Danio rerio: one gene and its partners. The main gene of each other region encodes a partner of the protein of the gene in region 4 in a complex. Links are inferred from orthologs where the notes say so. Each region holds a gene or a part of one and is shown on either strand. Other genes may lie near its edges.

The links.
Region 1: the proteins of nup93 (region 4) and nup35 are in contact, whole or in part, in a crystal structure (PDB 7MW1), measured with the Homo sapiens proteins. The link is inferred for Danio rerio from reciprocal best matches to the Homo sapiens genes NUP93 and NUP35. Residues at the interface, in NP_055484.3 of Homo sapiens: Tyr266, Tyr269, Asn402, Ala407, Asp408, Lys409, Thr410, Glu411, Tyr413, Tyr448, His452, Phe453, Val455, Asn456, Leu461; in NP_612142.2 of Homo sapiens: Ala88, Pro89, Pro90, Val91, Arg92, Ser93, Ile94, Tyr95.
Region 2: nup93 (region 4) and nup107 share a complex: the UniProt entries of both Homo sapiens proteins name them as parts of the nuclear pore complex. The link is inferred for Danio rerio from reciprocal best matches to the Homo sapiens genes NUP93 and NUP107.
Region 3: nup93 (region 4) and nup205 share a complex: the UniProt entries of both Homo sapiens proteins name them as parts of the nuclear pore complex. The link is inferred for Danio rerio from reciprocal best matches to the Homo sapiens genes NUP93 and NUP205.
Region 5: nup93 (region 4) and nup153 share a complex: the UniProt entries of both Homo sapiens proteins name them as parts of the nuclear pore complex. The link is inferred for Danio rerio from reciprocal best matches to the Homo sapiens genes NUP93 and NUP153.
Region 6: nup93 (region 4) and nup54 share a complex: the UniProt entries of both Homo sapiens proteins name them as parts of the p62 complex. The link is inferred for Danio rerio from reciprocal best matches to the Homo sapiens genes NUP93 and NUP54.

Annotation. Positions count from the first base shown.
Region 1 is NC_133184.1:12,404,719-12,410,375, forward strand, and holds the start of nup35 (nucleoporin NUP35), read right to left. Parts: upstream 3,534-5,657; 5' UTR 3,490-3,533; coding exon 3,474-3,489; intron 2,085-3,473; coding exon 1,926-2,084; intron 1,802-1,925; coding exon 1,674-1,801; intron 532-1,673; coding exon 477-531; intron 1-476. UniProt on the Homo sapiens protein: Functions as a component of the nuclear pore complex (NPC).
Region 2 is NC_133179.1:23,342,644-23,347,625, forward strand, and holds part of nup107 (nuclear pore complex protein Nup107), read right to left. Parts: intron 4,945-4,982; coding exon 4,832-4,944; intron 4,298-4,831; coding exon 4,168-4,297; intron 4,087-4,167; coding exon 3,983-4,086; intron 2,880-3,982; coding exon 2,752-2,879; intron 2,176-2,751; coding exon 2,127-2,175; intron 1,730-2,126; coding exon 1,658-1,729; intron 1,573-1,657; coding exon 1,484-1,572; intron 1,395-1,483; coding exon 1,202-1,394; intron 15-1,201; coding exon 1-14. UniProt on the Homo sapiens protein: Plays a role in the nuclear pore complex (NPC) assembly and/or maintenance. Required for the assembly of peripheral proteins into the NPC. May anchor NUP62 to the NPC. Involved in nephrogenesis.
Region 3 is NC_133193.1:13,627,642-13,631,812, forward strand, and holds the start of nup205 (nuclear pore complex protein Nup205), read right to left. Parts: upstream 2,801-4,171; 5' UTR 2,786-2,800; coding exon 2,758-2,785; intron 100-2,757; coding exon 1-99. UniProt on the Homo sapiens protein: Plays a role in the nuclear pore complex (NPC) assembly and/or maintenance. May anchor NUP62 and other nucleoporins, but not NUP153 and TPR, to the NPC.
Region 4 is NC_133193.1:18,953,048-18,958,029, forward strand, and holds part of nup93 (nuclear pore complex protein Nup93), read left to right. Parts: intron 1-1,004; coding exon 1,005-1,196; intron 1,197-1,278; coding exon 1,279-1,405; intron 1,406-3,394; coding exon 3,395-3,467; intron 3,468-3,565; coding exon 3,566-3,610; intron 3,611-3,856; coding exon 3,857-3,973; intron 3,974-4,056; coding exon 4,057-4,175; intron 4,176-4,982. UniProt on the Homo sapiens protein: Plays a role in the nuclear pore complex (NPC) assembly and/or maintenance. May anchor nucleoporins, but not NUP153 and TPR, to the NPC. During renal development, regulates podocyte migration and proliferation through SMAD4 signaling.
Region 5 is NC_133194.1:48,944,880-48,950,606, forward strand, and holds the start of nup153 (nuclear pore complex protein Nup153), read right to left. Parts: upstream 3,472-5,727; 5' UTR 3,395-3,471; coding exon 3,317-3,394; intron 1-3,316. UniProt on the Homo sapiens protein: Component of the nuclear pore complex (NPC), a complex required for the trafficking across the nuclear envelope. Functions as a scaffolding element in the nuclear phase of the NPC essential for normal nucleocytoplasmic transport of proteins and mRNAs.
Region 6 is NC_133196.1:123,581-129,255, forward strand, and holds the start of nup54 (nucleoporin p54), read right to left. Parts: upstream 3,494-5,675; 5' UTR 3,479-3,493; coding exon 3,442-3,478; intron 3,217-3,441; coding exon 3,124-3,216; intron 1,099-3,123; coding exon 1,021-1,098; intron 603-1,020; coding exon of another isoform or gene 474-602; intron 1-473. Other genes in the region: bxdc2 (ribosome biogenesis protein BRX1 homolog), read right to left, coding at 3,832-4,083, 4,266-4,394, 4,466-4,567, 5,536-5,586. UniProt on the Homo sapiens protein: Component of the nuclear pore complex, a complex required for the trafficking across the nuclear membrane.

The DNA of each region.
Region 1 (5,657 bases), on a different chromosome or scaffold from region 4:
GTCGTGCCTTTATGTCACGAGATTAAATGTAAACAACTCATTGAAAACTCGTTTTTCACTAAAACCAGGGGTGTCAAAATCAGTTCCTGGAGGGCTGCAGCCCTGCAAAGTTTATTTCCAACCCTGCTCCAACACACTCACCCGTAGGTTTTAAACAAGCCTAAAGGACTCAGTTAGATCAGGTGTGTTTAATTAGGGTTGGAACTAAACTGTACAGAGCAGCAACCCTCCAGGAACCGACTTTGACACCTGTGGCTTAAACCTTTCCTAACTTGATTAATGTTTATTTTAAGTTCAAGTAGTAGATGTAAAGAATTGCATAAAAGTAGAGCACACCTGTTTGTAAAGCATACAGCAAAATCTGATGTTAAAAACTCAGAATCGATTGAAGACAGAACAGCGAGGCATTTTGAAAATCTCAGAATTGATTTCTTGTGAGATTTTTCACCACAGCTCTACTAAATAAGCATATTTACCTGTTCCTGGTGTACCCTGTAGACCAGACAATGGTGTGTGAACTCCAGCAAATGGCTGTGAAAACAAATTCTTATAAGACAATGAAACCATCTGAAATGCTCGAATATAGACATGTCCACAATTTAATATTTTTGTCGAATACAGCAAGTTTAAGAAAAAAACATGTGCTACAGTGGCCTAAAATCTAAATCTTGATTAATTTAACATTTTAACTCGATTCCGATTAATGATATATATATATATATATATATATATATATATATATATATATATATATATATATATATATATATATATATATATATATATATTATTAATACATTATTATTGTGTTATTATTATTTTATTTATTTTATGTTTTTGCCCTCATAGTTGGCAAGTTACATATAGCGATAGGTTTTGTGACAAGTTTTGTAAAGTAACGTGTAGCTGTAACAGTTGAGATGTGTAGAGGAGCATATGTATGCGAAGCCTGCGCCAGACCATACCCGTGCACCTGGCAGAAGCATAATATCATAATAACATAACAAATATACATCATAATATAATAAGAATAAATCTGCCTTAACAGTATGTGGTTATGTGACTCCTTACGTTGTAGGAAAAGTCATTCAAAAAATTGACCTAGAATGTTAGCATAGTGTTGTACACTAGAATTATCAGTAATAGTGTAATTATCAGCAATAAAATAACATGTTTTCTTGCAAAATAAGCATTCATTAAAGGGACAGCCTGCACAAACAGAAAAATTCTCACACTCAAGTGGTTTTAAATTTTTGTTGCATTTTTTTCTTCAGTTGAACTCAAAGCAAGATATTCTGAAGAATGCTGGAAAAAGCAGCCACTGACAGCCATAGTCAGAACAAAAAATATTATGGAATTCAATGGCTTTTTTGCCAACCTTCTTCAGTATATCCTCCTTTGTGTTCAACAGAAGAAACTCAAACAGGTATGGAACCTGTGGAAATGATTAATGGATGGTGTAATTAATTTTTGGGTAAACTATCATTTTTTTTTTTTAATTCATAAGTCAAAAACAAAAACTAAATACATGGTACATAACACTATGCTTGCAATAATACTTTATGTTTACCGCACTTAAGTATTTATTTTTGTTCTTCATCCACGACTGCATAATTACACAAACCAAAATAATAGTAATAACTAAAGTTTTCATATTTGTTAGCACTTCTCACTTGTTTGCGAGCAGCAAGTGGTGACATTCCCACAGCAGAGCCATTGAGGTCATCATAGATGCTTCTGACTGGAGGGGCTCCGCTCTTATCTTTAGGTGTTGGGACTACAGGCTGTGGAGGAGACCCACCTGATGGAAAAAAAGAACATTAAATCTGTAAGAAAGCAACTTTGCTTATAAGTATAAAAATAACCATAATTAAGGTATCAACAAAGCACTGTAACCAATAACAAGCATTGTTATATGCATTTACCAGCAAGAAGAGGAGACCTGATTTCTGCTCCACCTGTCAAACCAAAAGACCTGGGCTGGGGAGTGACAGGAGCAGGCAGGTCTCCCATTAGAAACCCCGGTAAAAACTGAGCCCCAGGCTTAGGAGAGGTTGGAGAGCCGAGCGTCATTGGTTCAATACCTGTTATGAGACATTTGAAAGGTTTACAGTGTTTAATGCTTTTTAAAATTAAAGCCTATAACATTCCTGGAGTTCTAGTTTCTAGTTTTCTAGTTTCTAGTTTTAGACAGTCTAGTTTTGTGGATTTTTTTGTTCTTCCAAAACCTTTTCAGGCCTGGAAAATATTTAAACATAAAATGTACAAATTCCATGACTTTTCCATGACTGTATGAACCCTGTTTATATTCACACATTCGCTCATTTTTGAACAGTGACACTTTGACATGCTACTTTAAATATTTGGTCATTAGCATTATTTAATTTTGCACTTTGATAGTCATAAGCTGCTTATATGATTACCCTATTAAGAATTTGCAAAGTATACTTCTGAAATTAAGTTATATTAAAAATATATATATAAATTATCAAAGTCTGTGTGCAAATATAAAACCAAACTGACTTTTATCTCATTTAGTGATTTACTTTTTTTCTGTTTTACAAAAACTAATTTGAAGAATTTTGGAAGGCGGTAGCCAAACACAATACACATCCATAAAGAAGAAAAAAGTAGTCCCTCAAAATATCTGGCTTTGCATTCAACACAACATGGTATATACAGAGATTGAAATTCAAAACCTTTTAAGACCTTTTTAAGACTCTTTGCATACCTCATTACCACTTCATGTTTCAACGAGTAACATTGCTAACATTTTAATTTGCAATATATTTACTGACTATAAATACTGATTGCAAGAAACTAATCCTTAACTGTATTTATAAACTAGATAAAAATATTAATCTAGCCTTTACAGCAGCAGGAATAAGTGTTTATCAGGTTTACTGCAGTAAACAAAGCAGCGTGATGTCAAATTTAGCAGGATTTGTTTGATTTCATAAACTACACAGCATCCCAATATTCCAAGATTAGACTCGGGCAAGCTTTAGCATACTGATACAAAAGTGAATTCCTTGTAAAATAGCAAAAGACTTGTTAATGCTTTAAAAGAGTCTTAAATTTATCTAAATATATTTATCATTTTTTATATTTTTTTAAAAACCCCGCGGACACCATGAACAAAGAAAGTTGAACAAGAAAACTAAATAAATGACAATTTTTCTCTTTGCGTGAACTCTCCCTTTAACGATAACACCAATTTGATATGGACAACGAAGCACATAAAAACAGACCCTATTTGGCAGGCACTTGATTTGGCTGTCACGTCACAGCAAATAAAAACACCCACATACAGAAATAGTTTAATAAAGTTATTAAGGGGAATAAAACACGCGTCTTTCTGCAGTGTGCTGACATTAGCTAAGCCACGGGGACGCCCGTTTCCACAAATTCATCGACATACAAACACTTCAAAACCTACAAACTCAAAAATTGTGAAAAGCACGAATACTTACAACTCTGTATCTCCATACTGGATGACTAACAGGCAGTAAACGAACAGAAGATTAGATCTGCTTTACCGAATACCGGAGAGTGCAGAATTTTTTGAACCAGACGGAAGTTGCGCGTGCTCTAATGACACCAGCGAGAGGCACTTCCGGGCGCCTCTGTCGCGCCTCTACAGGGAAGGATGTCAAACGAATTTTTATTTATCCCCAGTAACAAGATTGCGTCTACATTTGGTAATCCTAAATCAAATTGTGTCTTCTGTAACTCAAGCATCAAATCGATAATTTTATTTTTTTATCAAATGGCCACATGTTAAAGGGTTTTGTCTGATTTATCCGTCTTTTTACATCAAAATGTAAATTCAACATTAATTTTTTCCATATGTGATTTAGTTACTTTTCTCATAACAAACATAACAGAATTTATAGGCAATTTTATTATTTATTTACTGGGTAAATATTATACTCACAAATTTGCATTTTCTTCATCATTACCTAATTTGCAGAATTTTCTTTGTGACTTTAATTGTTTAACTACAACTACAACAAAATGTTTACAGCAAAAACAGTGTAAGAACTGTGAAAACTTCAAAAGACTTTGTAAATATTATTAATATTGATAGTTTTGCCTCTCAGTGGCACAGTAGGTAGTGTTGTCGCCTCCCAGCAAGAAGGTCGCTGGTTCGAACCTCGGCTCAGTTGGTGTTTCTGTGTAGAGTTTGCATGTTCTCCCTGCCTTCGTGTGGGTTTCCTCCGGGTACTCCGGTTTTCCCCACAGTCCAAAGACATGTGGTACAGGTGAATTGGGTAGGCTAAATTGTCCGCAGTGTATGAGTGTGTGTGGATGTTTCCAATGGCTTGCGGCTGGAAGGGCATCCGCTGCGTAAAAACTTGCTGGATAAGTTGGCGGTTCATTCCGTCGTGGCGACCCCGGATTAATAAAGGGACTAAGCCGACAAGAAAATGAATTAATGAGTTTTGCCTCTGTACCCTGTTATTTATTATCTTATTTTAGCATATTTTAGATATTCTTATATCATTTTTCTTGTTTATATTGTACTTGATGTCATCCATTGTTATGGTATATCTAATATTAAATAGCTGTACAAGGAAGGTAGATCTCAAATTTGTATACTTGCATGCGTTAGTAGAATGTTCTTACACAAACTAATCTGCAGGTGGCACTGTTGTTTCACAAGGTTGCATTGTTGTCCTGGATCCTCTGGAGTAGTAAAATATTGACATCCTCCTCCTCTTGCTGAAATATTCAGTCTCCATTATTAAAAAGTAAAACAATACGTTTATGGTTTTATATAGCCTACAGTGCATTTCTTGCATATGACTGAATACAATAATTTGATAGCTGATGTTGATGTTTTTTAGGTTCGTTCGTTCATTCATTCATTCATTCATTCATTCATTCATTCATTCATTCATTCATTATTCATTCATTTTCCTTTGGCTTAGTCCCTTCATTTATCAGGGGTTGCCACAGCAGAATGAACCGCAAACTTATCCAGCATATGTTTTACACAGCGGATGCCCTTCCTGCTGCACTCAGAAATAAAGGTACTTTATGTGAGCTGTCACTGGGGTGGTACTTTTTCAAAGCGTACACATTTGTATTTAAATGGTCCATATTGGTACCTCAAAGGTATATATTAGTACCAAAAAAATGTAGGCACTAAATGTACCCTTGAGGTATTAACATGGATCGTTTAGGTAAAGATTTGTAACTTTTGAAAAGGTACCATCCCAGTGACAGCTCACATACCTTTATTTCCGAGAGTGTGGGAAACATCCATATACTCATTCACACATACACTAACCCACATAGCAAAATTTCTCTGGCCCAGCTCTGGCCCACAAAATCAGGTTTTGCTTGGCCCACATGCTGCGGTGAATTACTGTACATGACTGGACCAAGTTTGGCTTCCATACAAGGGCCAAACATGGACCATATCTGGGCCAAGTCTCAGCCAAGTTAATAACTCATAAATGGGCCTGAACTGGGCCAGATATGTTGGTGCGTCACAATTGCAATTAAATTCATAAACCCATGAAGCATTGCGCTTTAGGCACACTATGGGTGTGCTTTTTTCTCAAAGTGACCTGATTGGTAGAATCTTTTTCTTTACTCAAAAATTATTTTAATGTATTTTAAATGTGGGTGAAGACAGGCCAAACTTA
Region 2 (4,982 bases), on a different chromosome or scaffold from region 4:
CACAACCTCTGAGCCTGCAAATGCACACAGAGAGAGACAAATTTATAAAGTGACATTTTCAGTATCCACAATTCTGCAGTTAAAAAAAGGAGATAAATTTCAGACTTTACTGTCATATATTCCCTTTGAAGCTCTAAAAAATTTAATTATTTTTATAGATATGCCATACATTTCTGAATGATTGTCACCATAGAAAAGCCACCTGGCTATGTGACACTACAAACACTTCTCTTTTCTTGTGTTTTTGAACCGTTCAAAAGAAAATTTAAGTTTAGTTGAAGTTTAAAGGTACTTCAGAGCATTTACTAAAATAAACAGAAAACTCCTAAGACTCACAACCTAGACACAATTATTATTATTAGAATAACTACTCAAAGTGTGTAATTACAAATACGCTAACATGTTATTACAGGATTACAGCTTAGTATAGTATCAGTACAGACCCATAACACAAGCATTGTGTAAACAGAAATGTAACTTAACATTTGTGGCCAAATCAGAGTATTTATGTATAATAAAATACTCAACTACAAAATACCTCAAGAATGGCCATACCTAATAACCATCCAAAAAATATAGGATTAACAAAACTACAAAAATTGCTGGTTGAGTTATTGTTTTACTCCTAATTCCAAGGTTATTTCAGAAAAGAAAACAAGGGTGGAAGAGAAAATGATTTTTGTGTTGTAAAGCTTATCCTGTAAATAGTATTTTTAGTAGGAGGTTATGTTTTACAGATTCATGCACAAGATCTCTCAACATTCCTGCAGCTAGTTTTAAAAACAAGGTGTGTCATTTCTGCATAGACTGCCTGTGGTGTTGTGTTTACCGTTTCATTAATCATGTATAACAGTGGCAAACAAGTTTTCCCATGAAGATACAGTTCACTGAAAAATCTAAATTCTGTTTACTGATTTGCTCCAAATCTGTTTGAGTTTTTTTCTTCTGTTCAAAACAAAGTAATATATACTGAAGAATATTGGAGAAAAAAAGCAGCCATTGACTTCCACAGCATTTTTGTTCCCAGATTAAGTGCAAAAGCGGCTTTTAACAAGCTTGCTTCAAAATATTTTGTTTTGTGTTTAACAGAAGAAGGAAATTCATAATATGTACAACCATTTGAGTAAGGAAATAAAAAATGTAGGGTGACCTATACGTTTAAGGGAATTAATAAAGCATCTCAACTAACATACACACATACCTCATCAGTCATGCCAGCTCGTATGAGATTGAAGAGGTTTTTGAGGAGGCGAGAGTCGTCCTCTCTGTCCAGGTCTGCCAGGGGTCTTTTCTGTCTGATGGGAGCATCGGGATCCAGTTCAGTGACCAGTGGCCTGCTTAAACCACCACTGGACTGATTCCTCCTCAGCTTCAGCGTGTGGAGTGTGTTCTCCCTGCACACCAACAAACAGATTAATAAAAAATTTTATTTAGACATACTGAGACATTCTCAAAGACATAAATGAGTGGTAAAATCACTTACCAGTACACAGATTTAGCATAGTATTCAATGTTATCCGAGAAGTCTCCTATATCGTCTTTTGCTATACTCTCCAACCAATCCACCACCAGCTAAATAAAAACACACATCAGATATTGAGCTTTTTTTTTTTTTTCAATGTAAAAATATATTGGTGTAAAATGGATGTATGTTTACCTGGCTCTGTCGCACCATACTGTCCTTTTGGAAGAACTGCTCCATTACTGCTTTCTCACTCTCACTGGGCATCTCCAGAGAAAACACAACACGAAACAGTTCATATCAAAGTGAGATGTCCATGAGTAAAAACATGGCACACACCAGGGCGAACAGTCTAAATGAAACTGATACGGACACTGTATTATATTGACTAGGAGTTTTTAAAACATTAATTTAAACCAAATAAAAAAGAATCTTAAATAAAAAAAAATTACATATTTTGCATTTTGATTGCAGCAAATAAAATTATATAAAAGCTCCAGTAAATTAATTGACATTGTGTCAATTTGTCTAATCAGAATAAAACTGCATCTCTATTTAAACAAACAAGCAAAAAAATACAAATAAAATTGTGATTCTCTGGTTTTATAGAATTACGCAGCTCTATCCCAAGCAGAAGAGTAGAAAGAAACACACATGCACTTACAGTAATATCCATCATGATGTCTTCTTCTAAAACAGTCTGAACTCTGTCTCTGTGTTTGAGAGAGTTTTAACAATACATAAGCAAAAAAGTAATAGTATTCAGATATTTAAAAATCCTACTGTTTTAAAGTCTGGTATTAATAAGATTATTATTATTATTATTGTTTATTTAAACTCATAATATTGTATTTACATAGCATTTATTTGATCAAAAAACAGCAGTGAATAGTAATAGATAAGCTTAATTTACTACAGCAGCCATTACTTCAGTCTTTATTGAGACATAATCTTTGAAAAATCCCTCGACTTTGCTGATTTAGCAGTAAATAATCAATTCTCATTAAACTCAATGTTGAAAAAAGTTGTGCTGCTTTATATTTGTGTGGAAACTGAAACATTTTTGCATTTTTAGATAAACTAAGCAAAAAAACATCAAAAATATTCATTTGAAATGGAAATAGATTTGAAATGCTGTCAATTTTGATAAATTTGCCACATCAGCAACTCATGGGTATTTTATGGCAAGCTTAATATAGATTAAATACAAAAAACTTCAATAACAACTTATTTCTTATGCATTCATCAAAACAGTAGTGTGTGTGGTCTAATGTATGAGTGTGTTGTACCTGTACAGAGAGGTGATAAGTCTCCAGGTCACCATCTCTTGCTGCAATAACCAGGTGATGCTGACAGTCTTGGAGGATTTCTGCTGGCCAGGGGCTGAACGGAGAACCAGTTTCTGCAACACACTGACCTACAAGTCAGGACAGTGCATTAGTAATGACTTGTTGTGCCAATATTTTTACTTGCTATAACACTAAAAACTAAAGTCATTTTTAAAGACTATAGTCTTTTTTTTTTTTTTTTTTATAAAATCACTTACCAGTACACAGATTTAGCATAAAATCACTTACCAGTACATAGAATATGAAAATATTTTATGCATTACATACAGCTACTTATCAAAATTCCTTTGTCAAACAAGTTCATATTTTTGTTCAAGCATTGTGTGTGAATTTTAAAACAGTTACACATAGGTCAACCGAGAGTAAAAAAACATAATAAAAGTATTAGTTTCTTAAACAACTCAAATCAGTGCTGATGATTACTTGGAAAAATAAAATGATTTTAATCCTTAAAATTACAATTAGTTTACATGTTACTGTTTTATTGGAAAACACACAAAAACAAACAATCTCCTCTCAATACACACATATACTAAAGGTAAGAAGATGTATTACAGGATTAATACGTAGGATTATTAGTCTTGGATAAGTCAAGGATCTGAAATAACATTTATTTTAATGCACTTTTTAAGTTATGCTGCACAAAAAATAATCTAAAATAAAATAAAAAACAAAATCTCTCAGTATGTACTACATACAAAACAAACTCTGCTATCCATCCATACAACACAAAAACCAGAATTATAATTACATCATTTAAATACATTTTTCCAGCAGTGCTAAAAAGCTGAATAAAAAAAAGATTATTTGCTCGATGGTCCAAAACTGAAAAAAATGTGTCAAAATATTTAACATTTTCTAAACCAACATTACAATATGCATGTCTTGTAAACACAATTGATGCATTTGAGCAAAGTATGTATGAGTATTTGCTTAAACAGAAAAAAAATGGAATAGCAAAAATGAAAATTTTGTCCTAAAGGTCCTGAATGTATTATAATTGTTTATCTACAGAAAAACTGAATTATACAAATTCAACGTTAATAATAATAATTTTTTTTTATAAAAATATTAAATATATGCTGTTTGTGTTTAATACAGCCTAAACGATCAAAAAAAAAAAAAATATATATATATATATTTAAATTTAAATTATGTACTGCTAGTGTACCTTATCTTGACAGAGAGCTTCATATTCCTCCAACAGGTCAAACACGGCTGTGGACGCATGACGCAAATAAGACTCCAGGAATTCAGGAAACAAACCAAGAGAAGCTAAGAGAAGAAAACAGAAGAGCTGAAAATCATGTCAATTGACCGCTTCATTTGTGATTATGAATTACTAAGAGTATTCACCAGCCTCTCCAGGATCATCTTCCTTCAGCATCAGAGCACTCATGCTAACGTCGTCAGTAAAGCTTGTGTCCACTATTCCTGATAGAGGAGATGGGTAAAGACTGTTCGTCCAGTCACTGTCATCCAAGTTCTGGAGAGCAAACAAACAACAGCAGCACACAAAAATGTTACTAACACCAACTAAATTTGCAGTCAAAGGCTAAATTATTAGCCCTCCTTTATTTTTTTTTTATATTTCCCAAGAGATGTTTAATAGAGATTTTTTCTATTATATATATATTTTTCTGGTTTACTTTAGTTTGACTGGAAGAAAACCTTAGGTCAATATTATTAGCCACCTTGAAAATGATTTATAAAATTGCATTGCCTTGAAATTGGACTCTGATTGAAATTACTCTGATTACTAGTATCTCACAAAAGAACTAGTCAAGTATGATGTAATGTCATCGCAGCAAAGACCAAATAAATTAGTTATAAAATATTTACGATTAAAACTACTGTTTAAAATGTGTTGGAAAAAATGTCTCTATTAAACATCACTTGGGAAATAATTGAAAAAAATAATACAAATCTAACAGGAGGGATAATCATTTCATCTTGATCTGTACATAGACTGTACAGAGGGATAAAGGATGTTATGTTTGTACAAACAGAGGTCACTCACCATGCTCAGGCCGCCTTTGGTACGAGGTGTGTTTACGAAGCGAGGGGTTCTGCTTCCTGAGGTCCCGAGGATGGCAGACACATCGGGATTCCTAAGGGCACTTCTTGGGGTGACTGTAATAATAGTTTTTAAAAAGCATATAAATACAGCA
Region 3 (4,171 bases), about 5.3 Mb from region 4:
ACTGCAGATCTAAAAGATGAACACTTTCTGGTTGACGTCTCCAAATGGCCCCTTCCACAGCCTCCCAGAGCTCCTTCAGCGGCCCCCACAGACTGGCTCCTGCAAACAGAACCACAATCTCTTTACAATATATATATAAGGAGTTCAGATGCAAAAACCTCTAAATGAAAGAAACATTTTCTTAACCTCCAATGTTTATGTTCAGTTATTTCACTTGAAAGGCGATTAAAAGAACTTATCCATCACTATAAATGTAAAATTACTGAGCCAACACATAGGTAGTGCTGTCGCCTCACAGCAAGAAGGTCGCTGGTTCGAACCTCGGCTCAGTTGGCGTTTCTGTGTGGAGTTTGCATGTTCTCCCTGCCTTCGCGTGGGTTTCCTCCGGGTGCTCCGCTTTCCCCCACAGTCCAAAGACATGTGGTACAGGTGAATTGGGTAGGCTAAATTGTCTGTAGTGTATGAGTGTGTGTGTGAATGTTTCCCAGAGATGGGTTGCGGCTGGAAGGGCATCTGCTGAGTAAAAACTTGCTGTATAAGTTGGCGGTTCATTCCGCTGTGGCGACCCCGGATTAATAAAGGGACTAAGCCGACAAGAAAATGAATGAATGAATGAGCCAACACACGAGTCGGAGAAAAATGCTAGTTTTAGAAGAAAACATCAGATGGCTTTTAGAGGTTTTTGCATCTAAACTCTTCATATGCATTTCTCTATATTAGTGACTGAAAAAGTTGCTTTTTCACATTTTTCCTCCTGTCAGTGTGACGTATGATTAAGCATACGTATGATATAATATATAATAGTTTGAATTTTTCTGTTTTCAACTGATTATTTTTGTCATTTTGTTGCGATTTGAGTTTTACAGTTTTTGTTTCAGACTACTTCAACCCTCCTGTTTCTTAAGTGTCTGCAGAGTGCAGACTAGTGTTTTTCATACTTTAGGCTAGGGCTGTGCAATTAATCGAAATCGAATTGCAATCACAAGAGGCTGCTATATGAAATATATTATTTAATTTCCTCCACCCAGAGCAAATGTGTGACTGCCGTCTGTGTGTGACAGTCTTACTAGACAGTCTTACTGAGTGAGCACACTTTCATTCTGGCCAATCAGAATTGCTCAACTGAAAGTATGTAAAAGCCCACAATAAAAAAGAAAAAAAAAAGGAAAGCGCAAACGAGTGGGATGATGACATCTGCCGCTTCAAAAGCATTAATAGATGAATTTATATCAAAGAAAAACAGCAGGTCTGTTATATGGGAATATTTTGGTTTCAAAGTCACAGACACCGAACACAAACAGGCAATTTGTAAGAGCTGTCAAAGAATTGTTCCCACAGCATGAGGACATACAGCAACCAGCACCTAAAAATGCACCACAGGCCGCTATATGAGGAGTGTCTTGCTAAAAAAAATCAACTAAAAGTATTGGCTGTGACACTTAATCTAGTAGCTAGCAAAGTACAATTTCAGGTTGTTTGCTATTACTATTGCTATTATTTTTTTTAGTTCTTCATTTTAATTAACACAGAAGCTACAATACAGTTTATTAAGCTGAAGTTTGACTACAAAATTGAATTGCATATCAAATTGAAATCGCAATATCTGTCAGAAATAAAAAAATACAAATCGCAATTAGATATTTTCCCCAAATCGCACAGCCCTACTTCAGGCTAGTACTTTTGTCAATTTCACAAACTATCATGACCTATAAAGGTAAAAAAAAAAAAAAAAAAAAACTCAAGCTGTCAAATGTGCTTTTTTAAAGACAAAACAAAAAACTAAATGTTATAAGTATCTCAAAAGCAGAGCAACCAGTTGCCTCGACTTATAGGTAGAACTTACACAGTAGAATTGCAGAAGGTAAACAAAGACACATTATAAAACACAGACATTAACTTTCATTTCACTGACAATCATTAACAACATTCCTAAGGTACAAAACAAGGAAACAAATACATGAAAAATGTAAAATGGAAGACAAAATATTTAAATTGAGGTAAAGTTAAAGGTATATTCACACATTCAGATTTCTCCTCAATAATATAGTTTCGAGAAAGTATTTTTTGCAGATTATAAACATGAAATCATATTAGCAGTCATTGACTATCAAAGTACACCACATTTCACAGTCAAATAAATAGTGTTAATGTTGTTTAAAGTCAAACCTACATGTGATTTCAGACCCAATATTCAAAGTAACCACGTTAAAAACAATATAGGAAGCATGTCACAAGTTGCCACTGAACGAATATGTGCGCATATAAAATCAACTTGACCTCAATAATATGTAAACCACTAAACAACAGTATAAACATAACTCGTATATAGACATTAAAGTATCTTTAGACTTAAACCTAGACTTATCTTGTCCATGTATCATTTTTATTAGACGTAAAGGGCATATTCACGAGGCAATTTAACAGACATTGATGTTAGGAGACATTGATGTTTTAAATAACGTCAACTTATTTATTCTGGTCGCACAAAAGAACAAGTTTTACAAAGACTTTTACTTTAATAATACCTCGTTTAAGAAGAGCCCAGATAATAGTAAGCAATGTAACGTTAGTTGCGCATTTAGTTACACACTCTAAGCCTATTTTCTGGTGAAGGTAGCGATAAAGTGAATGGCTGACGAAGTACTTGTACTTTAAATGTATTAAAATACTTTGGTTTAACGTGCTAACACAAAAGTCAATGTTATATATCGTATAAAACATTAAATATGTAAGAATACGAAATGTATACATTAATACCTGAATTTACCGCCATCTGCGTCGCCATGTCTGAAGCGTGAGTGGGCTGCCCTGAATTCTGCCGGTGTGAAAACATAACTTTCGGTTTCTTTTGTGAAGAGATTTTATTTATTTACATTCGTATGCTCTTATTTATTGCCTTATTGCTTATTTATTTGTTTATTTTTATTTTTGACAACATTGGTTTGTTGTGTTTTTGCCATAAATACCACATGAGCGTAGGACCTATAGAAATAGAAGTTGGTAGAATCAGCATGCAGGTTGGTTCTTTGCTACAATAGCAAGCGGATACTGACACTACGAAAGTTGCTACTAATTTTACATATTCAGGGTGAATAATGTTTTATGTTTTATTTGTATAGATAGTTTTCTCAAATAAATTGATCGTCCTGACAGCTATTTACACATAAATCATTTGCTCAACGTAGGCAGCATTGTCACGTGGTGCATGTTATATTTCTCACCGTATTTAAGATCATACAAATCATAGTCATCTGTGATTACAGCGCCTTGCCATTTCAATAAATACGTTCATAAGGAAAATTGCTTTAAAATTTGCATTTGTTTAACGAATGTCGGTTTGGGTAAGCATTACAAACAAAAGGTTATATTATTAGCCAGCGTGTATCTTTGATTAGACAAAAAAACGCCCTTAGAACTTCACACGACTCAATGGACGGACCCGTTTTTGAGCCACCAAGCGAAATAGTTGACATTAAGTGAAATTGAGCGACTGATGCCTCACATACTGCCTGAAAATTATTAATATCCCATTTTTCTAGCACCAGAGGGTGGTACTGTCCTACAAACCCACCAACAAAGATCGAAATCAGGAATAATAATAAACACAATATCTCTTTTACAGAACTTCAAATGAGACTCTCAGTCAATTTTGCGAGGCAAAAACATACTGAACTTTTACTATAATAAAACCATGGGATATCAATTTTACTTTACTTTTTTTATTTTCTTACTAGACGCATAGATTGTTTTGCCCTTTATCGTAAGTATTTCAGCTTCAAGACATACTATTTTAAATACTAATTTCCTGGCCAATGGAACCAGAAAAAAAACGCAATGGTACTTTCCAAAGATAACACAAGTATCTACCTAAAAAGTAAGCGAGGGTTATGACATAATGATGAATTAATTTCCAATCAGATATCAGTATTATTTGGTATTTGGAGCATACAAATAATTTATTTTTTAAATTAAATCAAAATCATAAATACTTAAGTTCAATTATTTGGTTAAATCTAAAACAGCACAATTTATGTTTAAAGCTAGGAATAAACTACTTCCTAATTGCATAAAAAAGTTTTTTGAAGAAAGACAAGGGGGGAAATAATCTAAGAGAAAAACTAAATTTTAGTAGTTTGAAAACAAGGACAACTTGAAAAAGTTTGTGTAAGTC
Region 4 (4,982 bases):
CTCAGTAATGATTAAATCACACTGAACTGAGCTAAACTGAACTGAACTGAACTTAAACACTAAAACCTGAACCACACTGTTCCAGTTACTGAACCACACTGTTCCAGTTACTATGACCATTTATGTGAAGCTGCTTTGACACAATCTACATTGTAAAAGCGCTATACAAATAAAGCTGAATTGAATTGAATTGAATATATTCCATGTTTTAGATCTTAAATACTGGTAAAAATGTATGTGTGTGTGTGTGTGTGTGCGTGTGTGTATGTATATATATATATATATATATATATATATATATATATATATATATATATATATATATATATATATATATATATATATATATATATGCTGTACATAGTTTTACATATAAAACGATTTAAATTATTCCATTAAGTCATCCCAGTTATCTAAAGGAAGAGGTTTAAATGGGCATTTGAAAAACTAGGAAGTAAGTCAGTATGCAAAACCTCCCATTCAGTCTCTGCCAGTGTGTGCCTAGCCCAGATAAAAGTGCATGTCATTGTGCTGTTTTCTCATGGCTTAAACTTCTCCTCGCCCAGTTTTAAAAAGGCATCCGCTTAGTTTCCTCCACCTGCCTGATGAGTCAGTCTTATCTCGCCGGCACTCCTGCAGTACACCACATTAAAGACTCGCTCTTTTGCTGATAAGACTCCTTCACTCCCAGCTGCGCTGCCATTACGCTCCATGCAAAGTCGCAGCGGGTCTTTTCAATGCCGCTTTAAGACGTCAGTTTTAACGGCAATTTAAATGAGAGGGGATTATTTCAACTTGCGCAAATGGAAATGAAACAGCCTATTTAAGCACTTCACAGCCGAGGAAGATTTACATGGAACCTATTACTCGCTTAAAGAAGCATTTAAATTCCTTATGTGACAAATCCGTACTGGCTGCATGTGCCCATTGCCAGTGTGTGCTTTATGTGTGTTCTGTAAGTGGTTTTGCTCATAAAGATGTGTGGCATGAATTGTTTTCTGCAGGTGAGTCCCATTTTTCAGCCAGCCACCAGCCCTTCTTGTACTTCCAAGTGCTTTTCCTGACGGCGCAGTTTGAGGCGGCCATCGCGTTTCTCTTCAGAGTGGAGCGTCTGCGCAGCCATGCCGTTCACGTTGCTCTGGTGCTGTACGAACTCAAACTCCTGCTCAAATCATCAGGACAGAGCGCTCAACTCTGTAAGTTGTGACTATTGAGCGTTAAGTGAGAACTTAAAAATTTATCTTGTTTGTAATATTTTTTCTGATCTTTTTTTTTAAGTGAGTCAAGAAGCTGGAGATCCTCCAATGGTGCGACGGCTAAACTTCATCAGGCTGCTTATGTTGTACACACGCAAATTTGAGTCCACTGATCCGCGAGAAGCCCTGCAGTACTTCTACTTTCTCCGGTAATGGGCATTCTATACTTAAGGGTCACAAAACCTTTGTTTTTCAGTTTAGGTCTATCTCAGAATGAAAAAGCTATTTACATAGGTTTGGAAAGTTGTAAGCAGAAGGAAGAGAAGTGAGGGTGATGGGGAAAAGCTGGAGAAAAAGAACACAGCAAACAACTGTCGTTTGTCTTTCATACTGTCATAATGACTTAAAAATTTGCTTAGCAGCGCTCAATGTACAATGGGAAATGCTGATATAGTCACATTTGTTTACAATTCAGTACAAATTTGTAGAATTTAGTATGTCTATTGGCATTAGAGCAGTAATAAGGCCAACAATTTAGGCCATAGCCTGACAGAATTCGGCCCGAGCCTGACAAGTACATTTTGATTTACAGCTTTTTAAAAGTTTAACATTATTCAAATGTGCACATGCACACAGCTCTTTTACCTTTTTTTCAAGAATGAGTCGTTTATTTGTGTTTTAACATCATTTATTCATAACAAACGTAGGCTATAGGCCACTTAGAAGTTGGAACAAAGAAATAAAATAAGTCCTCTTTCCTAACAAATAAATTAATGACAGGTATTTGGCAATACCGAAATTAAGATGAAGGTTCTGCGGGATTTGTTTCACCACTGCTCTTCACAATCTGGCCTTAAGGCGAAGCTGAATGTTAAAATAATAATGCCAGCATTAGCCTGTGTACTCTAACTACATTATGCATTTTTTATTTAATTAATATTTAATTATAATTTGAAAATTCTTCACTCATTAAGATTATGCTATGTGTTTTTGTGGAGGAAAATTATTTAATCAGTCCTGGAAAAAGAGGACATTGAAACTGCTGCCATGGAAAATGAAATAAATGTTCTTGGCTGGTGGAAGATGAACAAACAATCCTACCTAAAACTTGCAAAATTAGCCAGATCAGTATGCCTCCCGGCCTGTAGCAGCAGCAGTGAAAGGGTGATCAGTGCTGTTGGATGCACCATCAGTGAGCGCATGACCAATCAATTCCCACTCCACAAAACTTGCTCTTTTTGACTTCTCTGTTATCATTTGTTTCACCTTTGCAAGGCTGTAACAAACGATTTGATTACTTTCTCACACTAATTGAAATGCATTACATGACTATTAATTTACCATGCAAGCCCGAGCCTGCCCCAACCCTGTCTAAAATGATCTTTAGCTCTAATTGGCATCGCAACCCATTGTGAACACCTTGCTGCACATTCTCACAGCTTGAATAAATTATTCAGAATCAGTAACTCTTATGGGATAAAAAAAAACTCAGTCTCATGAATAATAATTGGAGACAGATGCATCATCGAAGTACTCACAGTCCTATTGTACGTCACTATCAGTAATGCTGCACTGATAGAGATTTTAAACCTGCAAGATGAAACTAGCTCAAAAGCTAGTAGTTCCTTACAATTAAAACTAACAGATGCTAACATTATTGTTCAACAAACATAAAGCTGTAAAAGCCTCATCAAATTTAGTAGAGGATTTCGTCAGCCTTTAAGTAATGCTATTGGGTTATTTGGAGTAACATACTAAAAGAGCTGATGTTAGATTAGATACGTTGAACAGCTATTAAGGAAGCCTATACAAAGCTATTATGAAATAAACTTGTTTCCTGTTTGATCAGTGGCTGAACTGTAAGTCATGTCTTTTTCTCTGAATATACTGTGCGGAAATCCCTCTCCGAGAAGAGATTAATGTGTCATGAATAACTCAGAACCTTCCATGAATGATCCATGAATAATTAAACCTGCTTCATGCACACTGTGAATTCGATGCTAACTCGACCCATTGTTTTAAAAGACCCCACAGCCACTAGTACAAAAAGGAAGCAGTTGATCTTCTTAAGGTCTTTTATCTCAGGGTTTGCATGCATGTCACAAAGCGAACATGTTCCTTTGAATCTTTTATGCCACAAACTGGATAATTGCTGTACTGCAACAAACTAACAATCACTGCTCTCCTACTGGCCACAGGAATGAGAAGGACAGTCAAGGAGAAAACATGTTTATGCGCTGTGTCAGCGAGCTAGTCATCGAGAGTCGAGAGGTAAGAAACTTTGTAAGCTCATTGGAGGAAGGGTTTCTGCATACTAATTGCTGTTATCATTACATAATTCCTGTCAATACTTAACTCTCTTCCTGCAGTTCGATATGCTTCTTGGAAGGCTTGAAAAAGATGGAAGCAGAAAGGTATGTTGGAGGCTTTTGTTGTAATATCACCTGACTGGCAGACAGCGAACGTGCCCACTGTTCATTCTTGGAACCCATTGTGAAAAGCTTGTTCGTTCAGGCTTTCAGGGTTGTGTAGAATGTGCTATTGTCTCGCAGGGCCTGTACAACACACTCCGGCTTTTCATGCTCAAGGCTTATTGACAAACACCATTGTGCATTCAGAGTCCTGCTTGCTCTAAGCAGTGTTTGTTTGAATCCATTCAGCCTGGTGTGATTGACAAGTTTGCCGGAGACACGCGGGCCATCATTACCAAAGTAGCCTCTGAGGCCGAGAACAAGGGATTGTTTGAGGAGGCCGTCAAACTCTACGAGTTAGCCAAGGTAAGATAAGCTGAGACGGACCTTTGGGTTTAGCAGTCTCTTGTAATTGTGCCTAAAACATTTTTTTTTATTTCCTGCTCCAGAATGCTGATAAGGTTTTGGAGCTGATGAATAAATTGTTGAGTCCAGTCATCGCTCAAGTCAGCGAACCTCAGTCCAACAAAGAGCGACTCAAAAACATGGCAGTGGCTATTGCTGAAAGGTGAGCATTATGAAACTAAGTATTTCGGTCACACTTTACAATAAGGTTTCATTAGTTTATGTATTGATTAACATGAGCTACTTATAAACAATGCTTCTACAGCATTTATTAATCATAGTTCAACGTTGTATAGTGCATAAGTAACATTCAAATTCATGCTTTACTGTGTATTGTTCATTAGTAAATGCATTAACTAATACAACCTTATTGTAAAGTGTTACCAGTATTTCTAAACATTAAAAAAAAAATTATGACTAAACTGACTATTTACGACTATTATTTATGACTAAATCTAACAATTATGAATTATTAAAATGTGTTATGAGTTTCAACATTCTATTCAAGTTTCAAAATTTCAACTGAAAGTATTAGTTGACCCAAAAATCTAAATTCCGTTATTAATTACTCATCCTCATGTCATTCCAGTCTCCACCCTTTAATCATTTTTGAAGAACAAGTTAAGATTCATTCATTTTCTTTTCGCCTTAGTCCCTTTATTAATCTGGTCTCGCCACAGCGGAATAAATTATCCAGCATATGTTTTTTGCAGCGAATGCCCTTCCAGCTGCAACCCCTCACTGGAAAACATCCATACACACACAATTACACACATACACTACGGGCAATTTAGCTTACCGAATTCACCTATACAATATGTCTTTGGACTTGTGGGGGAAACCGAAGCACCTTGAGCAAACCCACGTGAACACGAGGAGAACATGCAAACTCCATACAGAATCGCCAACTGACCCAGCCGGGGCTCGAACCAGCGACCTTCTTGCTGTTAGGCGATCGTGCTATCCACTG
Region 5 (5,727 bases), on a different chromosome or scaffold from region 4:
AAAGCTGCCTTGGTGCATATGACGGAGATTAAATGTCCATTTACATGGCACACTTTACAACATAAAAACTGAAAACATTATGCAGTTTCTGGTCAACTACATTTAAGGCCAGGACGCACTAATCCATCGGTCGGCCATATGCCCTTTTTACATTTCCGCGTTTCTCAGTAGCGGAAGTCGTCATAGTTGGGTAATTTCAGAGCGCAGAAAATTGGAGAAAACATTTTTTTTACAATCTTATTTGCTCAAATAATTAAAAAAAAACTCTACGATGATGTTATAAAGACTTTCAGACAAAGGGAAAAAATTAGTGCAAGACTGATGACAGCAGCCAGAGGAGAGAATAGACAAAATGTCTGTCCTGTCCTGTAGAAGCTGCATTAAAAACACCTGGCACAAGTGGTAATTTGTTTTTTGTAATTTGAAGCAAAGACGATGTAGTACATACATAATTACATATAAATGTTCTTATGTAAAAAAAAAAAATCTAAATATTAAAACTTCCAAAGATGTAGAGGCTGATGACTGTTAAACATCTCATAACAGGCTTGTGAAAAGGGTTGCATCAGCCGTCAATCTCGCTAGTTGGTTTGGTGTGTTCCACGTTGTGTATTGTCGGGTTTATGTTGAAGATTACAGGGCAAGGTCAGCATCTGATTGGTTATTCAGCAACCAATCAGAGTGCAAAAATAAAAACTGAAGTAATGTAGCAAGCAGACAATTAAGGCTGATTTACATTTCTTCATCAAGCGCACTTGTATGCTCCAGTGCAGCCTTTGCAGTTGCATAGCACTCGCAGTGGCTGCCGCACACTTCTCAAGAAATATAACTATACTTTCACAACGACGCATAGTACAAGCTTTGTAATAGGTCAGCTTGTTAGCTGTGACCAGTGTGGGTGAGACAGAGATCCGCGCCAACCTGTTTGAGTGAGTGTTTACAAGTGTCGAGAGTCTGTGAAGTCGCTCCGGATGGAAACTGTAGTTTTGTGTTTATGATTAATGCTGTTGCACGTCTGCCGGTTCCCGCATCTTAATGAGTAAGTTTGAGCGACTTGTACATTAGGGTAACAAATCAGAAAATGCAAAACATCCACATATAAAGTATAAAAAGCAGACAATGCACAGTGATGCACCGAGATATCGAAATGAATAGAATCGATGGCATGATAATCGTAACCGAACCGTGAGGCCAGTGTAGGTTTACACCTCTACTTTGCATGTGCATGTCGGAAGTTCGGTTTTCATGTATTGAACAACAAAACAGATTATTGCGAAGCAAAGTAATAAAACAAATCATCTTACAAACGGTTTTCATTGGCGCTAGTTGTAAGGCGTAAACCTGGTGTGCCCCAGCATTTATAAGCCTGACAAAGCATACTTTTTATAAAGAGGTTACAACTATGGCTTTTTTGGGAATGTAATGTAATGTATTTATCTAATGCCATTTCAGCAACTAAGGCTATTTTCATAGCAGGAACCTTTCAACAATATATATACACAATTAAAAGTCAACAAACAAAAGAATACATAAATTAAATAGGATTTTTAGTGTTGATGCATGATAGAAATTCTAAAATCTTTTCTAGTTTCACCTTGTTAAAAATGTCCTTAAAAGAGTTAATTTCATAAAAAAAGTCTTCTGGAATCATTAAAAGCAGGACAGTCCAGTAAAATGTGGCTTTTTTGGGAGAAAACAAAAACGAAAAAAACTTTGTTTTCAGGTAACCAGGTAAAGAATAAAAAGTGATTTGGGGAAAGCAGAGAGGTTATTCGTATGTGTATAACATATTTACGCATGAGCAAGTATTTAACAGTCAAAACAACACTAATAAACATGAGCATACTTAACTAGAGCACACAGCATTTCTTCAGTAAGTCACAGAGAGCTACAGGCCGATCATGGCGAATACAAAATTTCTTGTGGTTTTAATAGATCAGCATAAACATAATTAATGTACCCTAAGCTAGATTCAATAAAGTGCTTGCTTTTTTATTAAGCTTGGAACATGCAGTTTTAAAACCTTATTAATGAGGGGCTTAAATTCATTGGGAAAAAAAAGAATATACTGTGCAATTAATCTATTGACAGTAGAAAATAAAAACAAGGCGCAATGATGCACAAATGTCAACAAAAATACGAGTATGTACCGCCCTGACTTTTAAACTGCCTTCACATCTTGCATTTCTACGTGGGGTTAATTACTAAATATACCAGAATACACACTTTGACCATGCTGAACACGAACCAGTTTATTTCATGATTTTTCAATACATCAACAGTCTCATTTTTACAGTATCCTACACATAACACTATGCATCGACTATTTCTAACTTCTAATTAAACCTCACACAAAAGAAAATGCGTTTTTGACTGCCAAATAGCTTATGTGCCTCTCTAACCCACTTAATTTGCCTAAAACAGATAATCTAGTAATATCACGAAAAATGCAAAGTGATTTTCAACTATGATTCATAGTGTTTAGGTTATGAATTATCAGAATAACTGTTTATGATGAATTCAGGATCACTATAAGGCTAATTAAAATTGTTGTTAATGAAAACACACACGAACCTGTGTTAATCACAACACCTTTACGTTCTTTATGAAATAACATGAGTGCAGGATTTCCAGTGTGTGTGTGATGTGCAGATGAAAACACGCCACGACACGCACACACTCGCTCATCCCGCCTTTCTTCATGATGTCAAACCCCACTGCGTTAAGCAGCATAATGTACGCCAAAACATACCGTTATATTAATCTCTAATCACATCCAAAACGATCATCAACCAAGCTTAAAACTTACAAATATAACAACACGCACACAAAAAGTGCTCTGAAGCTCATTACTCTCATGTGGAGTCACTCTGAGCGACACACGCGAGTTATGTAGTCAAAGTAAGAGTATAAAGAACTTAAATAGGAAATCGTTCGCTACGAAAACCAAGTTTTAATGGTTTGTTTGGACTGAAGTGATTATATCTGACGCCGGTGCTAGCCGCAGCTAACGGCTAACGGTTTGGGTATGAAACGCGTTCACGCGGTTGTCTTCACCTCAGTGAAAACACATTCAAATTTCACTTCTCAGTCGCCATATTTTCGAGTATTTTCCTCACCGAGTGGCTTTGTTTTATCAGTCAAATGAGTTGGCGGTGTGGAAAGCGTGTGCTGGAAGAACGTGAACAGGCCTAAAACAGGCCTCAAAATGTCTCCTGCTTCACAAAAACAAAACCCGCCGCCAAACCGCTGGTTAGGGTTCCGTTAATAACCGTTACATTCCCCGCTGTTGGCGCTTCATGTTGGTTTTGTTTACCTGTTTGCCTTTGGCGTAGGGTTTTGACGCAATGTGGTGTCTTCTGGATCTGATTTTCCCTCCTCCTGTCGCCGCCATGGTTAACTAGATTGAGTCTGCTCAGTAGCGCTCGCCGGATAGAGCTCCGCTGTCACAGCGCGGCCCTCCAATATACCGTCAGCCACCGCGGCGCTGGGTTTCATGGGATATGTAGTTCAGGAGGACACTTCATGCGCGTTCACTATTGACGTCAGTTTGTAGGAACTTCGTTCGGGTGGTAGGGGATTTTGCTTTTGTAGATGTGAGTAAACTGAGGTATTTAGTAAATTAGGTCAAGATACTTTCTGTTTCATTTTTAAAACAGTGGTTTCTCCAAATATGTTCATCTTCATGCCAGAAATAAACATCTAGCAGTCATGAATGGTTCTTGTATAACCACCCATAGCTTATGTAGTGTAAACATAAATATTAGATATTAGATATCATTCATTCATTTTCTTTTCGGCTTATTCCCTTTATTAATCAGGGGTCGCCACAGCGGAATGAACTGCAAACTCATGCAGCATATGTATTACGCAGCAGATGCCCTTCCAGCCGCAACCCATCACTGGGAAACACCCATACACACTTATTCACCAACATACAATTTAGCCTACCCAATCCACCTGTACCGCATGTGTTTGGACTGTGGGGGAAACCGGAGCACCCGGAGGAAACCCACGCCAACACATGCAACCCCACACAGAAACACCTACAGACCCAGTCAAGGCTCGAACCAGCGACCTTCTTGTTGTGAGGCGATTATACTACCCATCGCTTTGCAGTTGAAACAATATATATATATATATATATATATATATATATATATATATATATATATATATATATATATATATATATATATATTTTTTTTTTTTTTTTAATTGTTTTAAATAATGTACCAAATATTATTTTAATTTACTTTATGCAATCATTGTATTGATTTATTAATTATATTTCTAATTGATTTTTATACTCATTTGTAATTATACTAATTTTATTTATTTAATTCTGCTTTTTTGTGATGCATTTATTATTAATTTTTAATTGCTTCTGACATTTTTTTCATCATTTTAATGTAATTCATGTATTTATTGTTTGTTTAAATAAATTTCATATTAACAATTTAACGTGTAATTTATTTGATTTTGATTTAGGATTTTTTTTTTCTAATTATAATTTATTATTATTAGATTATTTAAATATAATCTTCATTTAATTACATACAAATTTGTTTGTTAATAAATGGTTTCATTTTGTATCATTTTAATAAATAAATAATTTTTTATTTATTCAGAATTTTCTTGGGGTGACGCGGTGGCGCAGTGGGTAGCGCTCTTGCCTCACAGCAAGAAGGTCGCTGGTTCGAGCCTGGGTCAGTTGGCATTTCTGTGTGGAGTTTGATGTTCTCCCTGTGTTCGCGTGGGTTTCCTCCGGGTGCTCCGGTTTCCCGTACCGTCCAAACACATGCACTAGGTGAATTGAGTTAGCTAAATTGGCTGTAGTGTGTGAGTGAATGAGAGTGTATGGATGTTTCCCGGTGATGGGTTGCAGCTGGAGGGGCATCCGCTGCATAAAACATATGCTGGATGAGTTGGCGATTTTATTCCACTGTGGCGACCCCTGATTAATAAAGGAACTAAGCCGAAAAAGAAAATTAATGAATTTTTTTTGTTAATTTAATTGTAATTTGTGTATTTATTCTTTTTTTTAATCAATTTTATTTCAATTTTCAGAAAATTTAATTTAATATTTTTTCCAATAATAATTAATTATAAATACATTATTTAAATTTTATTTTTTAACAAATTTGTTTGTAAACAGTTTAATTTTGTTTCATTTTAATAAATTATTTATTTTTAATATATTCTGACTTTCTTGTTAATTTGAATACAATTGATGTATTTATTGTTTGTTTAAACAAATGTAATCCTTTTTCCGGATAATTGAATTAAATCTCATTTAATATTTTGTATAGTTTTAATCAAGTAGCATTAAATAATTTATAGAAACTTTTCATTTAACTATTTACAAATTTGTTAAACAATTAGTTTAATTTTGTTTATTAATAGATGGTTTCCTTCTGTATTATTTTTTCATTTATTGTGACATTTTTCCACTGGCTTGCATGGTTCGGGACCATGTGGAGCTGCGCATCGATGGATTTGCTCCAGTGTTTGGACAGTGAAAATTAAACCACATTGAACTGAACTGAACTGAACTTCAACACTGAAAAGTGGACTGACACAGTCTCAATCTGCTATAATCTGTGTGAAGCTGCTTTGACACAATCTACATAGTAAAAGCGCTACAGAAATAAAGATGAATTTCTTGCCTCTAAATAATTTATTAATTAAATTAAATAACAAAAACAATAACAATAATTTTATTAC
Region 6 (5,675 bases), on a different chromosome or scaffold from region 4:
ACAAACACACACCACAGATGAAAAACACACACTCACACACACGCACACGCACACAACAGAGACGAAAAAAACACACAAGATGAAAACACACACACACACACACACACACACACACCGGAGATGAAAAACACACTCACACACACACTCACGCACACGCACACAACAGAGACGAAAAAAACACACAAGATGAAAACACACACACACACACACACACACCGGAGATGAAAAACACACTCACACACACACTCACGCACACAACAGAGACGAAAAAAACACACAAGATGAAAACACACACACACACCGGAGATGATGAGCACTAACTGTTGATGACATGATCAGAGTGGCACCAACACACACACACACACTACGTCTGTCTGTCTGTCACTCTCTCTCTCTCTCTCACACACACACAGGGATGGAGGCGTGGCGTGATCTGATCATGCGTGACCTTTGACCTCTCGGAGCTCATCTACCTGCTCCCCCGAGGCCGCTGCCGAAACTGAACACCGGGGCCGCAGGGCCCAAACCGAACCCGCCGAAACTAACAGCAGCGGCAGAGGGGGCGGGGCCAGGGCCCGCACTGCAGACCAGGGGCCCGAATCCTGACCACAGCGGCCCCAGGAGAAACACACACACACAAACAGGAGAGAGTCAGTGTGTTAGAGACAGCGCGCACACACACACACACACACACACACACACACAGGAGAGAGAGAGTCAGTGTGTTAGAGACAGCGCACACACACACAGGAGAGTGTGTTAAAGACAGCGCATGCACACACGCACACACACACACACACACACACACACACACAGGAGAGAGTTTGTTAGATACAGCACACACGCACACACGTGAACGCAAGCAAACACATGCTCGCACGCACGCGCACACACACGAGAGAGAGTGGGTTAGTGACAGCATATGCACGTATGCGCACACACGTGCTCGCTCACAAACACACACACACACAGAAGAGAGTCAGTCAGTGTGTTAGAGACAGCACACACACACACACTCACCCGTGCCACCAGTGCCGAAGCCGAAGCCTGTGGAAGCTGATGTGGTGGTCGGCGCTCCAAAGCCGGTTCCGGTCAGACCTGTAACCATGGCAACAGCATGTTAGCAGCGCGTGCGTGTGTGTGTGTGTGCACGCGCAGTGAAACATTACTGATGATGAGGATGAAGGCTGTGTGCTATACTGCATTAGAGGACTGTATAGGGGCGATGCTGTCTGTGATGGAGAGGAAGGGAATCCTGCTGTTATTATAGTTAATTATAACTGTTTTCATGCCTGAACATAACGAAACCACAGAACAGACCCGCAGTGAAGAGCAAGCGGCGCCCCCTGGTGGATCAGCAGTCTGGGTTGTGTATAGGGAGGATCGGCTCTGATGTTTGTTGCCAGCCTCCAGAGAAACAGCTTTACAGGATGATATCGGGACAGAACCGTCACATACAGGAGAACGGCGGGAGGAAGAGCAGCAGGGTTGACGGTGTGGTCTGCTGACGGCAGCTGAACTGCAGCACATCTCTCTAACCACAGTGACCCCGTCATCATTACAGCATACAACTCACTCTGACTGAACTGTGACAGGTCAATATAACCAACAACCAGCAGAACCCTGACCACACACACACACACACACACACACACACCACTCAGATGCAGAGTGCAGATGACGAGAGCAGAGTGTGTGTGTGTGTGTGTGTGTGTGTGTGTGTGTGTGTGTGCTGAGGAGGGAACTGGGGGAGCGCTGCTGTTATGTGTAATGGAGGTCAGCTAGTGAGTGCTGTGCAGGTAAACCTCGATCCTCCGACCTCTAGAGGTGCTCTAGCGACAGACACTAGAGGCCATGGTGTTTCGCCTCCTTGTAAGGCCTGGTTTATACTTCTGCAGCAAGTGAGCGGCGTGACCCACGGCGCATGTAACGCGTGTAGCTGTGCTTATACTGCTGTTGCTAGCTCTGTTGGTCTGCATTAACACTTCTGAAGCACTAGTGGGCAGTGAGGTGTAAATGTTCCTCTGTGTCGAGTTTCTTCGCTGCTGTTTTGCTATCCTGAACACTTCCTGGATGTACAAGTGGCTCAAACTCGCTCATTTTGAGGCAGGAACCGGCGGACGTGCAGCAACTGTAACCATGAGGGAAACACAGAACAAAACTCTCCATCCGGAGCTCCTTCACTTGTAAACATTCGCGCGGCTCTCGGTCCCGCCCAGACTCGTCAGCGATACCAAGCCGACCAATCACAGAGCTTGCGCTACGCGTTGTTGTGACGTGTAGTTACATTTTTTGAGAGGTGCACGTCAGCGACGCCGATGGCCACGGCGAATGGCTATTGGTCAGCGGCGTAGCATACGCCACCGTTTGCCGCAGAAGTATAAATCAGCCTTAACATGCGAAAGGTCGCCGGTTTGATCCCAGCTCAGTGCAGGTTGGGTGGTGTGGGACCGGCGGGGTGACACATGCAGACCTTCACCCCAACACAACCCCTGACAGAGCTCACTAGCAGACTCTACAGTGAACTCCTGCTACCAGCCAATACTGCAGAGCACAGCAGCGGTACTGGAGTGTTACTGGAGTGTGTAGTGTGTACTGGAGTGTGTAGTGTGTACTGTAGTGTATACTGGAGTGTGTAGTGTATACTGGAGTGTGTAGTGTGTACTGTAGTGTATACTGGAGTGTGTAGTGTATACTGGAGTGTGTAGTGTGTACTGTAGTGTATACTGGAGTGTGTAGTGTATACTGGAGTGTGTAGTGTGTACTGTAGTGTATACTTGAGTGTGTAGTGTGTACTGTAGTGTATACTGGAGTGTGTAGTGTATACTTGAGTGTGTAGTGTGTACTGTAGTGTATACTGGAGTGTGTAGTGTATACTGGAGTGTGTAGTGTGTACTGTAGTGTATACTGGAGTGTGTAGTGTATACTTGAGTGTGTAGTGTGTACTGTAGTGTATACTGGAGTGTGTAGTGTATACTGGAGTGTGTAGTGTGTACTGTAGTGTATACTGGAGTGAAGAGTATCAAAAAACGTCACTGATCACAAATTGAACATATTAAACTAGCTTTACCTCACAGGCCCGGGAGAGAGGGAGAGTGTGTGTGTGTGTGTGTGTGTGTTTACCGAAGCCCGTGGCGCTGCTGGCGGTGGTTGTGGTTGAGGCGCCGAAACCAAACGGAGTGGATGAAGATGACTTAAATGAGAAGCCCGGAGCGCCTTCATCATCATCACCATCACACACACACACACACACAGTTATGAACGCACAACAGCAGCCGCACAGTAATGAAAACACACACACACACACACACAGAGCAGATGAGATGAGCGCCAGTGGTTTACAGCACAGTGGTATCAGGTTTACAGCAGTATCAGCGCTCCTGCAGCGCCGTCATCATGTTTAATGTTCATTATTAATAGTTTTAGATTAATTTTACTCACTCGCGCTGCCCGACGCGCCGCCGAAGTTGAACGCCATGCTTCCGGTCCTGAGCGAAACGGTCCGCCCGGAAACAAAAGCTGTGAACAAGAGGTTCCTACCGGTAGCGTCGCGTCACACACTCCTCCGGCGTAGCGCGCGAAAACATTGATATAGATTAAAGTGAAACTGGAGCTCATCAGCAGAACAGCGCCGCTCAAATGTTCAACTGTGCTTTTGCACTCAGAGTCCGCCATGTTGGGACATTAAACCTGGCCGTTATTCAGTTGCGGCTCAGGATGTGCTGCAGTCAGCAGACGACATGAAGACAGAGACACAACCGTCAACATTAATAAAACATCTTTATTAACACACCATGATGATCATGAACACACACACACACTCGTGCAGATTCACACACTCAGGCCCTTCTTCTTCATCAGGGTCTTCTTCTTCAGCTCCGTCAGCCGTTTCTTCTTCTTCTTCTGGGGCCCCGGGGCCTCCGGCCGTGGGGCTTTGGGCTCCGCCGGGGTGTTGAACACGGCCTCCGTCAGGTCAGGCTGCAGCAGCACACACTCCTCCATCCGCTTCTCCATCCGCACCTGCTTCACCATCTGACGCTCCTTCTGCCGCGCGGCTGCAGCCAGTCGGAGCATGCGCCGGTGCTGCACACACGCGCACACACACACACACACACACACACACACACACACACACACACACACACACACACACACACACCAAAACAATATTAACACTCAGATCAATAACAGATCAGTAGCAGACAGTGCTGCGTGCGTGCGTGCGTGCGTGCGTGCGTGTGTGTGTGTGTGTGTGCGCTGCTGACCGCGTTGGGTGACTGGAAGTGTGGGTTCTCGTAGAGCGTGGGTCCGCCGAAGCTGCCCTGGAAGATGCGTATGGGGTTGAGGACGAAGCGCGGGCCGATCTCCACCAGCGAGGCGTCCTCCTCCACGATCTGCAACAGGAGAACAGCGGTCAGTGGAGCGCCGCAGAACCGCAGATCCTCTCAGAACCGCAGAACCTCACCTGATAGTTCCGGAACCAGATCCTGTGGTCTGCAATGCTGAAGCTGATGACATGATCCACGAACGGCTGACTCTTAGGGTGGTGCAGCGGGGTGGAGAAGACCTGCAGGACACGAGCAGTGTTAGTGGACATTGCAGACCAGTACAAACCAGTTTGAACCAGTCTAAACCAGCTATAAACCAGCCTAGACCAACTATAAACCAGTCTAGACCAGCTATAAGCCAGTTTAAACCAGTCTGTGCGCTAGTTTAAGTCCTGAGCATGTACACTGGGGCGAATACACACACACACACACACACACACTGGATTAAAGGCGGCTGTAGCTATGGCGGGGGCTGATCACTGAGGGCTGTTCTCACATGCCGTCTTTTCTACAAGCTAGTTTGCTTTTTCGTGAGCGGCACGATGTGCTCACGCTTTCCAGGCACACCAGGTTAAAAGAACGGTGCGAGCGCACTGTGCATCACGTGACTAGAATGGACCAATCAGCTTCATCCTTCATATGGAACACACACATTACTGCTCATGAGAGAAACACGAGATGAACAGCAAACACACTCCTAATGCAGCCTGCGACTGCACACACTCTCTCTACAGGCCAATACTCACAACCACATCAATAATACAGACAGCTGTTATTGTGCTCACTGACTGACTGATTGATCTGTCGTTTATTTTCAGTGAACACATTATTCCTCATGTTTAAATGCCAGAAACTCTTGTCTTCTGTTGAGTCCACAGGGAAATGCTGCTGGGTCTGCTGTGCATCAGGCAGCGAGCCGCAGTGAAGAGCTCTATACTGTCACCAGCTGATGCAGCACAGCAGCGCCATTACACATGACAGAGTCTTCCTCAGACTACAACCACACATCCAGCATCTGCAACCCTACATGCCAGAGTCAGACGAGGAAGATGAAGATCAGAGGAAGATCAGAGAGGAAGATGAAGATCAGAGAGGAAGATCAGAGAGGAAGATCAGAGAGGAAGATGAAGATCAGAGAGAGATGAAGATCAGAGAGGAAGATCAGAGAGGAAGAGATGAAGAACAGAGGACAAACACTGAAGAGCACCTGAGTGAAGAGCTCCTTCAGCAGTGCGTACTGCGGCTCCGAGTCAAACGCCTGAAACACACACACACACACACACACACACACACACACACACACACACACACACACAATCATCATTATTACACTACATACCATCATCA